Drosophila melanogaster: one gene and its partner. The protein of the gene in region 1 purifies or fractionates together with the protein of each later gene. This does not show direct contact. Each region holds a gene or a part of one and is shown on either strand. Other genes may lie near its edges. The genes, in order: Atg9 and EndoA.

Evidence for each region.
Region 2: the proteins of Atg9 (region 1) and EndoA purify together in Drosophila melanogaster (affinity purification with western blotting, with the first as the bait; one study listed by BioGRID). This does not show direct contact.

The regions. Positions count from the first base shown.
Region 1 is NT_033778.4:16,292,650-16,297,789, forward strand, and holds Atg9 (Autophagy-related 9), read left to right. Parts: upstream 1-1,750; 5' UTR 1,751-1,871; coding exon 1,872-4,409; coding exon of another isoform or gene 4,410-4,430; 3' UTR 4,431-4,583; downstream 4,584-5,140. Other genes in the region: CG7747 (uncharacterized protein), read right to left, coding at 1-75, 134-285, 340-1,294, 1,354-1,385.
Region 2 is NT_033777.3:18,904,690-18,911,435, forward strand, and holds EndoA (endophilin A), read left to right. Parts: upstream 1-1,919; 5' UTR 1,920-2,331; exon of another isoform or gene 2,332-2,510; 5' UTR 2,511-2,577; coding exon 2,578-3,687; 3' UTR 3,688-3,761; exon of another isoform or gene 3,762-3,816; 3' UTR 3,817-6,066; downstream 6,067-6,746. Other genes in the region: CG14292 (uncharacterized protein), read right to left, coding at 336-788, 864-917; Sgsh (N-sulfoglucosamine sulfohydrolase), read right to left, coding at 6,571-6,746. UniProt on the Drosophila melanogaster protein: Required presynaptically at the neuromuscular junction. Implicated in synaptic vesicle endocytosis.

The DNA of each region.
Region 1 (5,140 bases):
TCTAATCCTCCGACAAGCTTTCCAAAGATGGTGTGTTTGCCGTCGAGATGTTTGCAAGAGCGATAGGTGATAAAGCTACGAAACAGCGTATACTTGCAAAAGCATTGAAAAAATGTCACTTTGTGGTACTTACAACTGAGAGCCATTGGTGTTGGGTCCCGAATTGGCCATTGATAGCACTCCTCGGCCCGTGTGCGTAAGATTCGGCTTAAACTCGTCCTCAAACTTCTTGCCCCAAATGGACTCGCCACCAGAACCACTTCCAGTGGGATCACCACCTTGCACCTGTGGATAAAACCATAGTAAATTAAAGTTTCTCTCAAAAGAGATCGTACTTACAATAAAATTCCTTATGGACCGGTGAAACATAACATTATTGTAGTAACCATTGGCGCAATGCTTGATGAAGTTATCGCAGGCTCGAGGAGTTTGATCGCAGAAGAGCTCCAGGTTGAGAGGGCCAAGGTTCGTATTTAAACGAACGTAGCCCTTCTTTTTTACCCGCTCGTACTTGACCAAATCATCATCTATGATAGCCGCCTCTATTTGGGAAACGGGCACCATGGCGGTAGACGTAAAACTGGCCGCCACCGCTCCAGTTGAATAGTGAGCTGCGTTGAACTTGTCAGCTGTACGCTTCGAAGTGGAGGCCTCCTCTTCCGCTGGCTGATAGTCCTGCTGCAGCTGTTCCAGCGTCTCCTTGGTCTCCAGATTCATGGTCTTAATGCGGCCGCTGGCTGGATTCTTTCTCTCTTGCTGCTCTTCTTCCGTCAGGACTCGTAGATTCTTCTTAATATGATAGAAGGTCGAGATGTCGTACTTTTCCAGCTTCTGAGGATCTTGTATTGTGATGATATCCTTACGCTGGAATGGCGTGTCATCCACCAGATCCTTCCAGTTCTTTGTCTTAATGTTCAGCTGGTCGATTGCCTCCCAGCAGTATACATTTCCAGTTGTGGCCACCGCCACGATGTGCGAGTTCTTGCTGAAGGGCTTGAACAAGGCGGGGCAGTGGTACTCATCGTTTGCATTCCTGTGGAAGTTCAGCTTCACCAATGACTTGGAGTCCATCTTCTGCCCGGTGATGGGGTTCACCTTAAAGGTCTTGAGAAACTTAAGAATGGCCTCGTACTCGAACACATTGCCCTGTAGATCGCAGTAGGGCATCTCGTAGGGCGCCATCGTAATGCAGCAGTGCTCGAATGGCAGCCGCTTGAACTTGACATGGTCGTTCTCCAAGGATTCCACTTTTTTGCCGCCATACAGCTCACTCCACTCCGTGTACGTGAGGTACCTGTTAAAGCAATGGGTAGTCTTCATTTCCATAACTCGCTGGATGTGCTAAATACTTACATTTTGTCCTTTTGATGCTGCCTTTTACCCATCTTGGCTGTTTGTTTTTTTAAATTAAATTTGCAATAAAGTAAGAGCTACAAATAGTTTGTTTACAAATGCGGGAGAGAACTGCCAACTCTGTGCAGATTTATGTTGATGGATATCTAGGCTGTTCACACTTCGGGTACCATAAACAAAAGTATCGAGTATTTCAAAAAGTTAAAAACGAATATAAAAACAAATAACAAGAAAAATGCAAATTTAATTATTTATAAGTATTAATTTTATAAGATACCTTTGATTCTCCAATGTGTGTTATTTAGAGATGCCCTGGCAGTGTGAACACTGCACATTGGGCGCTGCAAGAGGTTCGCCTTACTTATTCATTACCCAGTATTTTGACGTTGGCCAACACTTCTCTTAGGAGAGTCAGCTGTTTGCTGAGAAGGTTCAGCAGAATCAAACAACAAAGAATTTTCCAACTTATACTATACAGCGATATAAATAGTCAGAACGGTTGACCTTGACGTTGGGCGATGTCTAGCCCACATATCAACTACCGCTCCCTGGCCGAGGAGGCGGCCAGTCCGTTCCTGGAGCACCATCCCTCCACAGGCCAAGGCCCATCCAAAACACAAGACGCAAAAGCGAACGCAGCTGCTGCGCATTTAGACCCCCTCGGTGAACACGGGCTGGAGCAGCCGCTGGATGAGCACGACACCGAGCATGAGGGCGAGGACACGCCTCGAAACAGTGGCGTCATGATCCACATGGTTCCGGAGACGGGGCGTGCGCGGTGGAACCACATCGAGGACCTTGACTCGTTCTTCTCGCGAATGTATCAGTACCAGCAGAAGCACGGATTCACAGTGATTGTAGTGGACGAAATGCTACAGGTTCTGGAGTTTGGTTTCGTCGTCTGGCTACTTGCCTTTGTGATGCACTGCGTCCGATTTGACGTGCTCTTTGGGGACACCCCTCCAGGGGGACTTAACCCCAACAAGACAACTTTATCCGATGTGATGTACCCCACAGGCGAGTGCTTAGCCAACTTCACTTGGGTCACGTACCTGGTTGTGTTCATAGCCGCTATCTATTTGGGCATAAGGCTTCTGAAAATGGTGTACCATATTACCCAGTACGCCGATATAAAGAGATTCTACAACTCTGCGCTTCATATCGAGGATTCGGATCTGGACAACTTTACGTGGCACGAGGTGCAACAGCGGATTCGTCGCGTCCAGGCCGAACAGCATATGTGCATCGACAAGGAGTCGCTTACGGAATTGGACATCTATCACCGAGTTCTGCGCTTCAAGAACTACCTAGTGGCACTGATGAACAAGCAACTGCTGCCTGTAAGGTTCCACATACCGCTGTATGGCGAAGTGGTCTCGCTGAGTAGAGGTATGTTGTTCAACATTGACTTCATCTTGTTTCGCGGCCCTGGATCTCCCTTCCAGAACAATTGGCAGCTGCGTGATGAGTTTGCGGTAAGAAGCAATCAAACGGAGCTGGCGCAGCGACTCTCCAAACTGATATTGGGGGTGGCGTTGTTAAATTTGGTCCTAGCGCCTGTGATCTTCGTATGGCAACTTATCTACTTCAGTTTCTCCTATGCGAACATTCTTCGTAAGGAGCCTGGTGCCCTTGGCCTGCGTACATGGTCCAATTACGGCCGCCTCTACCTGCGCCACTTTAATGAACTGGACCACGAACTAGATGCCAGGCTGAATCGGGCATATGACTACGCGGACCGCTATCTCAACTCCTTTTCCTCGCCACTGGCCGCTGTGATAGCCAAAAACCTACTCTTTATCAGTGGAGGACTACTACTTCTAATCCTTGCATTGGGCATTTACGAGGAACACGTCTTCCAGGTGGAGCATTTGCTTGCCATCCTTGCAGGGCTCGGCGCCATAGGTGTGGTCTGCAGAACTCTAATACCGGATGAGAATCTCGTTTGGTGCCCAGAGCAGCTAATGACCGCCATTCTGGCGCACGTTCACTACCTGCCCTCCGAGTGGCGGCAGCAGGCGCACACGACAAAGGTTCGCCAGGAGTTTAGCAACTTCTTTCAGTTTAAGGCTGGCTACCTACTCAGCGAAATCTTCAGTCCCTTCGTCACACCCTTCGTGCTGATCTTTGTGTTCAGGCCAAAGGCCATAGAGCTGGTGCGTTTCTTCAGGACGTTCACCGTATCCGTGCGAGGAGTGGGCAACGTATGCTCCTTTGCCCAGATGGATGTTCGCAAGCATGGCAATCCCGACTGGCAGTTAACCAGCGAACTGGAGGAGATGACCCGGGCTACAGCTCAACAGCCGCAGCAGGAGCCACAGCAGCAAAGTTTGGCCGGCGGCAAAACGGAGATGTCGCTTCTTCGCTTCACCCTGAACAATCCCGAGTGGCAGATGCCCAAGGAGGCCAAGCAGTTCCTGCGCGGCGTTAGAGAGCACGCCGTTGGTGAACTAGTCCAGGCCAAGACGTCGATGGTGCAGGAGAACCCGCTGACCAACAGCCTCATCTCATTTGGCACCATGGGAGCGGATTATTGTTCCATTGCGAACTCTGTGCTGACCGCACAGGTGACGCCCCAGCAACTGGAGATTTCGCAGTCGTTGCGTCCGGGTCTAGGACCGGTATCTGGAGGATTCCCCGTCGCAGCCAGCGACTTCCGCCAGATGTTGCAGCAGAATCTGTCCGCCAGTGTCGGCCCGCTGGACAGCATGCGCCGATTGCGCCTCAGCCGGGCTGAAGGCCGCTTGGAGGGTCCGACGGATACACTGCTCTACGGACTCTGTGGTGTGGACCCGCGCGTGGGCAGCACTCCCTTGAATGTGGGCGTGGCCGACATGTGCCTCAGTGCCCTCTATTTGCACGAGCTGAACCAGCAGAAGCGCCAAGCGCGCCAGTCTCGCATCGACGAGGCCGAGGACGAGCGTCCTGGTACGAGCCATTGGCCACCGCGACCACCAGCTGCTCCGTCGGCTGATACTGGCTTCGGCTCCCGCCATACCGTGATTACCTCAAAGGCTGCCGAGAGCACGCCGCTTTTGGGTAGCATCCGCTCATAGCAGCGGCCAGAGTGGATCTAACCACCTGTAGAGCTAAGGACCACCCATTCTGCTATTAGTGATTAACCTAAATTTTAAAGTGTAAACGAACGAACGACGTCGTCTAGTGCGTAGCTAAACTAATCTGAAACTAAGCTAAACTAAACGAGAAGCAATAAACATAAATGCATTATCAAATTGATCAGCTTTATTATTTCAAAGGAAATTTCGCTAGATAATAACTAAATCTATTAGTGTGTAGTAGTTGTGATTACCCATTACCCATATTTACATATATATATATGTATAAACTATTTACCTGGTTTGATTATAATGGCTTGTAAATCCTAAGCATTATCCGTTGTGTATCCTGTGTACAACAACTGAAAGGAGACACCATAAAAAAAATCCATTTTCATTGTGAAGATTATATTTAATGTCTTTACGGCTTATCCCGATCTTAGCTCTCCGGGATGTGGGAATGCCAGCTCCATCAGCACTGATGGATGGTCCCCATTTGTAGGCATTGTTGGCACACCACATCCACCTGGTCCAGAGATCCAGATGCGAGTGGCTGAGGAGAACGCATCCAGCTGTGCTGCAGCGCCTCGTGTGTCACTTGCCACACACGAACGCCATTTGGCGATTGGTGTTGATGGCCAATGCGGCGAGCAGAGACCAAAGACTGGAGGAGATCGGGGCGCACAGAGTGGACCGACCAAGTGCGTGCCTATGAATCTCCCAAGCCGGCA
Region 2 (6,746 bases), on another chromosome or scaffold:
TCGTGACGGTGACGTGAGCAGCCAAGTATTTGCGCCCCGAAAAGCGTCAAGAAGGCAAACGCCAAAATTTGTAATTCCCGATGGGAAATTTAATAAAGCAGCGGAATGCAAAGCTCGGCCGGCCACATCAAAGCATGTCCTAGGTCAGGAGTCCTTTGGCCTCCCCCCCCCTCCCCCCCTTACCACACACACACACACACACACCTTTGCACCCCTTAAACCAGCATAGGAAATTCCGGCATTAGGCTTATTTAAATTTTATTGCATCTATGTTGGTCGATTGCTAAGCTAGGAAGTATTGGACACTAAGGCAGCCGGAGGACAGGACTAGAATCCTAGGCAGCAGCTGCTCCTGTGGGACTGGCGGTGGCGGCCAAACGGGCCTGCCACTCGTCATCGATGGCCTTCAGCTGGTTCTTGGCCGTGGTCAGCAGAGGCTTGACACAGCGTATCTGCAGCCAGGGCAAAGTGGCGTTGTTGCAGCCACTGATCGACTCCTCCGAGGTGGCCACCACATCCAGGACGCGCTCCGCCAGGTCGGCGGGAAAGTCAGGCTGGGAGAGCAGACGCTCGGCTTCGCGTTGCAGGACTATCGACTGGAAGAATGAGGAAATCGAGGCGCCTCCAAAGGGAGCAGACGGTGCCACGGGAGCGGCTACACCGGCGGCAGCTCCTGTGCCAGCACCTCCGAAAATTCCATTTAGGAAGGGATTAAAGGCAGCCGCATACGGATTGGCGGCGGCAAAGGGATTTCCGGCAAGGGGATTTCCAACAGTAGCTCCAGGGCCCTTACGAGTAAATTATGATAATTCGGTTACATAATAATCCACTTAATGGGGGGGCCCATATCCACAACTCCTCACCTGTGCACTGATGCAGGCAATGCTGGCCGCCAGTAGAACAATTGCGAATTTCATTTCTTTTAATTTATCTGAGTTCACTTGGTTCTCAGTCGTTGGGTTTCGTCTAGACTAATTGCCAAAAGCACAACGGCTTGCGGCTTTTATACGCCATTAAAAACACGGCAGGGAGATCTTATCTCTGATATCTCAACTATTACTACTGCGATTGAACTGATTTACATGTTCATTGTTTGTTCGGTGGTGCTAAGTACCTCTCGGGGGTTATCTGTTCAGATAGAGCCAGAATATATAAAAAAAAAAAAGGTGGTAAAATTGCTACTTCATGCTGTGAACGTCACTGGTTTTTACGATGCAAATGGGGTTTAATTTTTGCCTGGGATATATTTGCCACCTTCTAGAAAGATAAAATTGACTGCTGTGCTACTGGTTATTTTGCGCACAGTTATTTTGGTAAACAGGATAAACATGATATTTTCTTATCCATTCTGAGTCATTCCATTTTTATCTTAGCGTAACATTCATCAGCAGTTATACAGCTTTATTTTTGCTGAGTACGTTTTCTATCAATATAATATATTTATGTATTGTAATGTTAGAATTTTACGCGCCAAACTGTTATTCTAATCTAACAGCTATTCGATTAACAGCATGTACAAGGACAGAGCAAATACAGAGACCGACAGTGGGACCGACCATATTTATTCTAGTCTAATAATTCTGCCAATCAACATAGATTTCAAATTCAAATTTATAATGCATTAACATTATAAGTATTAGATATTAAATGTAAGATATTATGTTAACTGTTTATGTGCTTCTGGCTTCTTAATATAAAATATATATATTACTTTAATTTTTAATATTGTTTTGATATATATATATAACTATCTAATACCCCCCTGCAAAGAAATTAAATGAAAATGTTAAGTTGTACCTCACATCTTTAACATATGCCTAGAGATGAGCGTATCCCGTGTATGTCCGTTGTTGTATGCGAATGATTTTGGTATTTTACGAACCACCGGTCACACTGAATGTTTTTTAACAGAATTATCGATAGTCCCGCAGCTCCAGTGGCTTAGTGCCGTTGAAAATTGTTGTACACAGTCAAGATATTGATTTTTGCGAGCCGAGAGGAAAACGCGACCCCACAGCCCCCGCCCCCTGTGCGCGACCAGTAGTAGTAGTAACGACTCACGGTCCTTCAAACATTACGCAGCCCAAGGTTCTGGAAAAAATCGAAGATTACGAGCAGAGCAACAAAAAAAAAAACGGGGCAGAACGTGCAGAGCAAGCGAAGCGAGTGAAAGTGCCCGCAGTAGTGGTCAGCAAAAGTAGAACTCGAACTCGGGCTACAGTTCACCAAGCCAATTCGAGTTTCCCGACTCGCAGCCTCCACTGAGCGAGCAGAAGAGCCCCGGAAAGTAGCACCCCCAGCGGAGAAGGAACGGAGAAAAGTGCAGTACGCGTAAGTCTTCCAAACGTAAACGTTTTAAAAATAGACACACTCAGCCAGCCAGCCAGCCAGCCAGGCAGTCGGGCAGTCAGTGAGGCAGCCATCCAGTCCATTGATGAAATTGTTGACTTGATGATATTGACATTGAATTTGAAATCGAGTCTCGACTAACCCAACCAACCCGTTCACAGCAACTGCGTCGAGCGCCCCAAGACCAATTTAATCAGAGGAAGAAAACCAGAAGAGACAGCAGCAGCCATGGCTTTCGCCGGACTCAAAAAGCAGATCAACAAGGCCAACCAGTATATGACGGAGAAGATGGGCGGTGCCGAGGGCACCAAACTGGACATGGACTTCATGGAGATGGAACGCAAGACGGACGTCACCGTGGAGCTAGTGGAGGAGCTGCAGCTAAAGACGAAGGAGTTCCTGCAGCCGAATCCAACGGCACGGGCCAAAATGGCAGCGGTCAAGGGCATCTCGAAGCTGTCCGGACAGGCCAAGTCCAATACGTATCCGCAACCGGAGGGCCTGCTCGCGGAATGCATGCTGACTTATGGGAAGAAGCTCGGCGAGGACAACAGCGTGTTCGCGCAGGCGCTCGTCGAATTCGGCGAAGCGCTGAAACAGATGGCCGACGTCAAGTATTCGCTGGACGACAACATCAAGCAGAACTTTTTGGAGCCACTGCATCATATGCAGACCAAAGACCTCAAGGAGGTAATGCATCATCGCAAGAAGCTGCAGGGCCGGCGGCTAGACTTTGACTGCAAGCGTCGCCGACAGGCCAAGGACGATGAGATTCGTGGTGCCGAGGACAAGTTCGGTGAATCGCTCCAGCTGGCCCAGGTGGGCATGTTCAATTTGCTCGAGAACGATACGGAGCATGTCTCCCAGCTGGTCACCTTTGCCGAGGCACTATACGATTTTCATTCGCAATGCGCGGATGTCCTTCGAGGCCTGCAGGAGACACTGCAGGAGAAGCGCTCCGAGGCGGAGAGCCGGCCACGCAACGAGTTCGTGCCCAAGACGCTGCTCGATCTGAACTTGGACGGCGGTGGCGGCGGCCTCAACGAAGATGGCACGCCGTCTCACATTAGTTCGAGCGCCTCGCCGTTGCCCTCGCCGATGCGTTCGCCCGCCAAGTCGATGGCCGTAACGCCGCAGCGCCAGCAGCAGCCCTGCTGCCAGGCCCTCTACGACTTCGAGCCGGAGAATCCCGGCGAACTGGCCTTCAAGGAGAACGACATTATCACCCTGTTGAATCGCGTCGACGACAATTGGTTCGAGGGCGCGGTGAATGGCCGCACCGGTTACTTCCCGCAGTCGTATGTTCAGGTGCAGGTGCCCCTGCCCAATGGCAACTAGGCTATTCCTCATCCTGTTCCTCGTATTAATCCCGATCCCTAAACCAATCCCATCCTATCAAACTGGCTGAAGACGTACGTAGATCGCTGATTGGAGAACAATAACCTTAATTGTTGGTTTCGCCACCAGAGGCGCGAAATTGGGCAGCCCAAGCCGATGCAGAAGCAGGAGCAGCAGAAGCAGCAGCAGCAGCACATAAATGCAAATATATATATATAGTTGAATTAGATGAGCGGGTTACTACGATTACGGATATTACGATACGGCTTAGCTAGCAGCACACAGCAGGCTAAATTCATGGTGGCCATAGAGCAAGCTAACTAAATTTTATGTGCAAAATTATACCAGTTGGCAACACAATAATTAACAAATTAACTACGAGTTAAATTAATGTACGTATTAACTAACTAAATTTACAAGACGTTACGCGCGCAATGCCACTTCCTTGCGTTTTTACCTTTGATTCTCAAACGTCAGCTTTGTTGTTCGTTGCAAGTTGCGAACATTTAGTACTACTTCACACAATAGATCGATCACGTATTAGAACAGTTGGTCCGGCGGCAGAAGCAAACAGAAAAACACTCTAGCTAATTAACTAAATTACCCGTGTAATCTTAATCACGCCCATGGAGGCGCGTCTCTTTTGTCTTTCCACCTGAGTTCTTCTAGCCTCCAGTTTTCGGAGGTCTTTTTATCCGGTCTCATCGTTGTAATTTAAACCAACCTACGCCAATGCGCTCTCTATGCAAATGTCCCTTTATAGGCTAAAGCTACGTATCCACACCATACGCCCGCCCACATGCATATACATATTTATTATATACCCGAAAATACCTACATATACCTACTCTACCTACGTATATTTGTGCAAAAACAATACTCCCCACACTCTATTCTAAAAGGCATACGGAATACCGTTCTTGATGTTCGTTGTTCAATGTAAAGAATAATTCAATTCAATTTTTCGAGGATGAAACAAGCGAAATTTGTATCCTACTTTTTGCTCCTTTTTATGTGTGTTGTTTTTTTTGTTTGTTAATTATATACATAACAACTATATATATATATATTAAATGAAATCAAATATATGTATAAATATATTTATTAAGCGTATTATCTACATGTATATTTATTATTATGTATTTATTATAAATTATACTGAGCAGCAACGTAAACAATATAATGAATATTTAAACGATGATAACAGATAAAAAGTACTAGCGGCAAGTAAATGTAACAGAATCCTCCTAAACAATACCAACCAACAAGCATAATACTAGTTAAACGATTTCCACAAAAATGTTGATAATAATAACTTTAAACGTAAGCAAAATCCAGTCAAGTCAATCGAAGCATAGCAACACTTACGAACCTACTAACGCGTTTACCAACCGCAACTCTAGATCAAATATTTATATATTTAACGAGATAATAATAAACATTCGACGGCAAACCGATAAAATGATTCAAAATAGTCTCATGTTGGCATACAGCTATGCACGATATACATACGAATGTATATACATATATATACTCGTACGTTTAGGAATGATATACACAAGATACATATATATTTACGTATGAAGAAAACCATTGAATTGAAAGCCATGCAACTTGTGTTGATAATAAATTTGTTAAATGCCAAGAAAACATTTAACAGAATTATATATTCGAGTGCGAAGATGAAACATTTGCCTCGTGGACGGACAGACTGCCAGTGCGAACATTTCCAGAGGATACCCCATCTGGGGAGGATCCACCCATCGCCTGGAGACTATCTTTCCACGCGATACACACTTGCCCCACGTGCAGCGGGGCCCGAACTTCAAACAATAATTATTGTAATTTTGCATTTTTGTGTGGGCGGTAACTTGAATAATATATATTACAAGGCATATACATAATAATAATAACTATGCTAAAACTGAAGACCCTAATTTATGCAAACCAAAATTAATAAAATTTAATTTTTAATGTGTCTTTCGTTCAAAGTCATAACTGAGAAACAACAAAAAAAAAAACAAGCAAACGTCGTTTACTCTTTGATATTTCCCATCTGACCTTAAAACCATAAAACGTGCTGCCTGTTGTGTAACACAGAGACTCGAATGCTGCTGGGAATGGGTGGTGGTGGGCGATGTGGGAATCCGGAGGCGCCACCAATAAACTACAACAGAAGCATTGAAATTTTCGATTTTCCACACACAGACACAGGCAGCCGCCAGCACACCCTCCCCTCCCCTATCCCACTGACCCAGTGGGCATGACATTGAAACGTGACGCAGCATCCAACCCCTGATGCCCACGCCTCCAGTCCAAAAAGTGGGTGAGGTCATGCTGCCAGGACACGAGTGTTTGCCAGTCTGGGCTGATGCAACCAATTCAGTCAGTGGGGGAATCTTCAGTCTTCTTTCTTTGCCAATTCTGTTGGCTATTTTTTTGGCATTGCGCAGGTGAAAATCAAGGCAATATATTTTTATCTGTTTGTTTGTAAAAAGCAATTAAAGTTTTCCCTTAATGTAAACTTGGAAATTTGTTCAAAGAACATACATATGTACATACTCTAAACAAATGCTTAATTCTTATGATTACCATTGCTTTTGAAAACATTGATCTTTTTATTAGCCATGCTTAAAGATTAGCAGCTCGCTTCAAAGTTAAACAAAGTTTATTATTGAAAGTATTGTATGTTACTTTTTTTTTATTATTTTAATAAGAATATACATTAATATAATATTATCATTTCTACCTTTTGCAATTCCTATTTGTATGACCGCAACTGTAACGGCATGTGAAGTGAAAAACATTGGCATGGTTGAGTTATCAACCATTGGACATGCGATAAGACAACACACCCAATCTATTGAATACTCTTAGTCAGACCTACGAGAAGACCACATACTCCTCATACTGACCGAGAATCCTGCGCTTGGGCCGCTGCAACGCCTCGTGGCCCAAGGTCAGACAGACGGGCTGATCCTTGTAGACGCCCTGCTCCTGGAGCACAGCGTGCGGAGCACATCGCCAGGGATCCTTGGTGGCTACCTGCCAGTCGAACA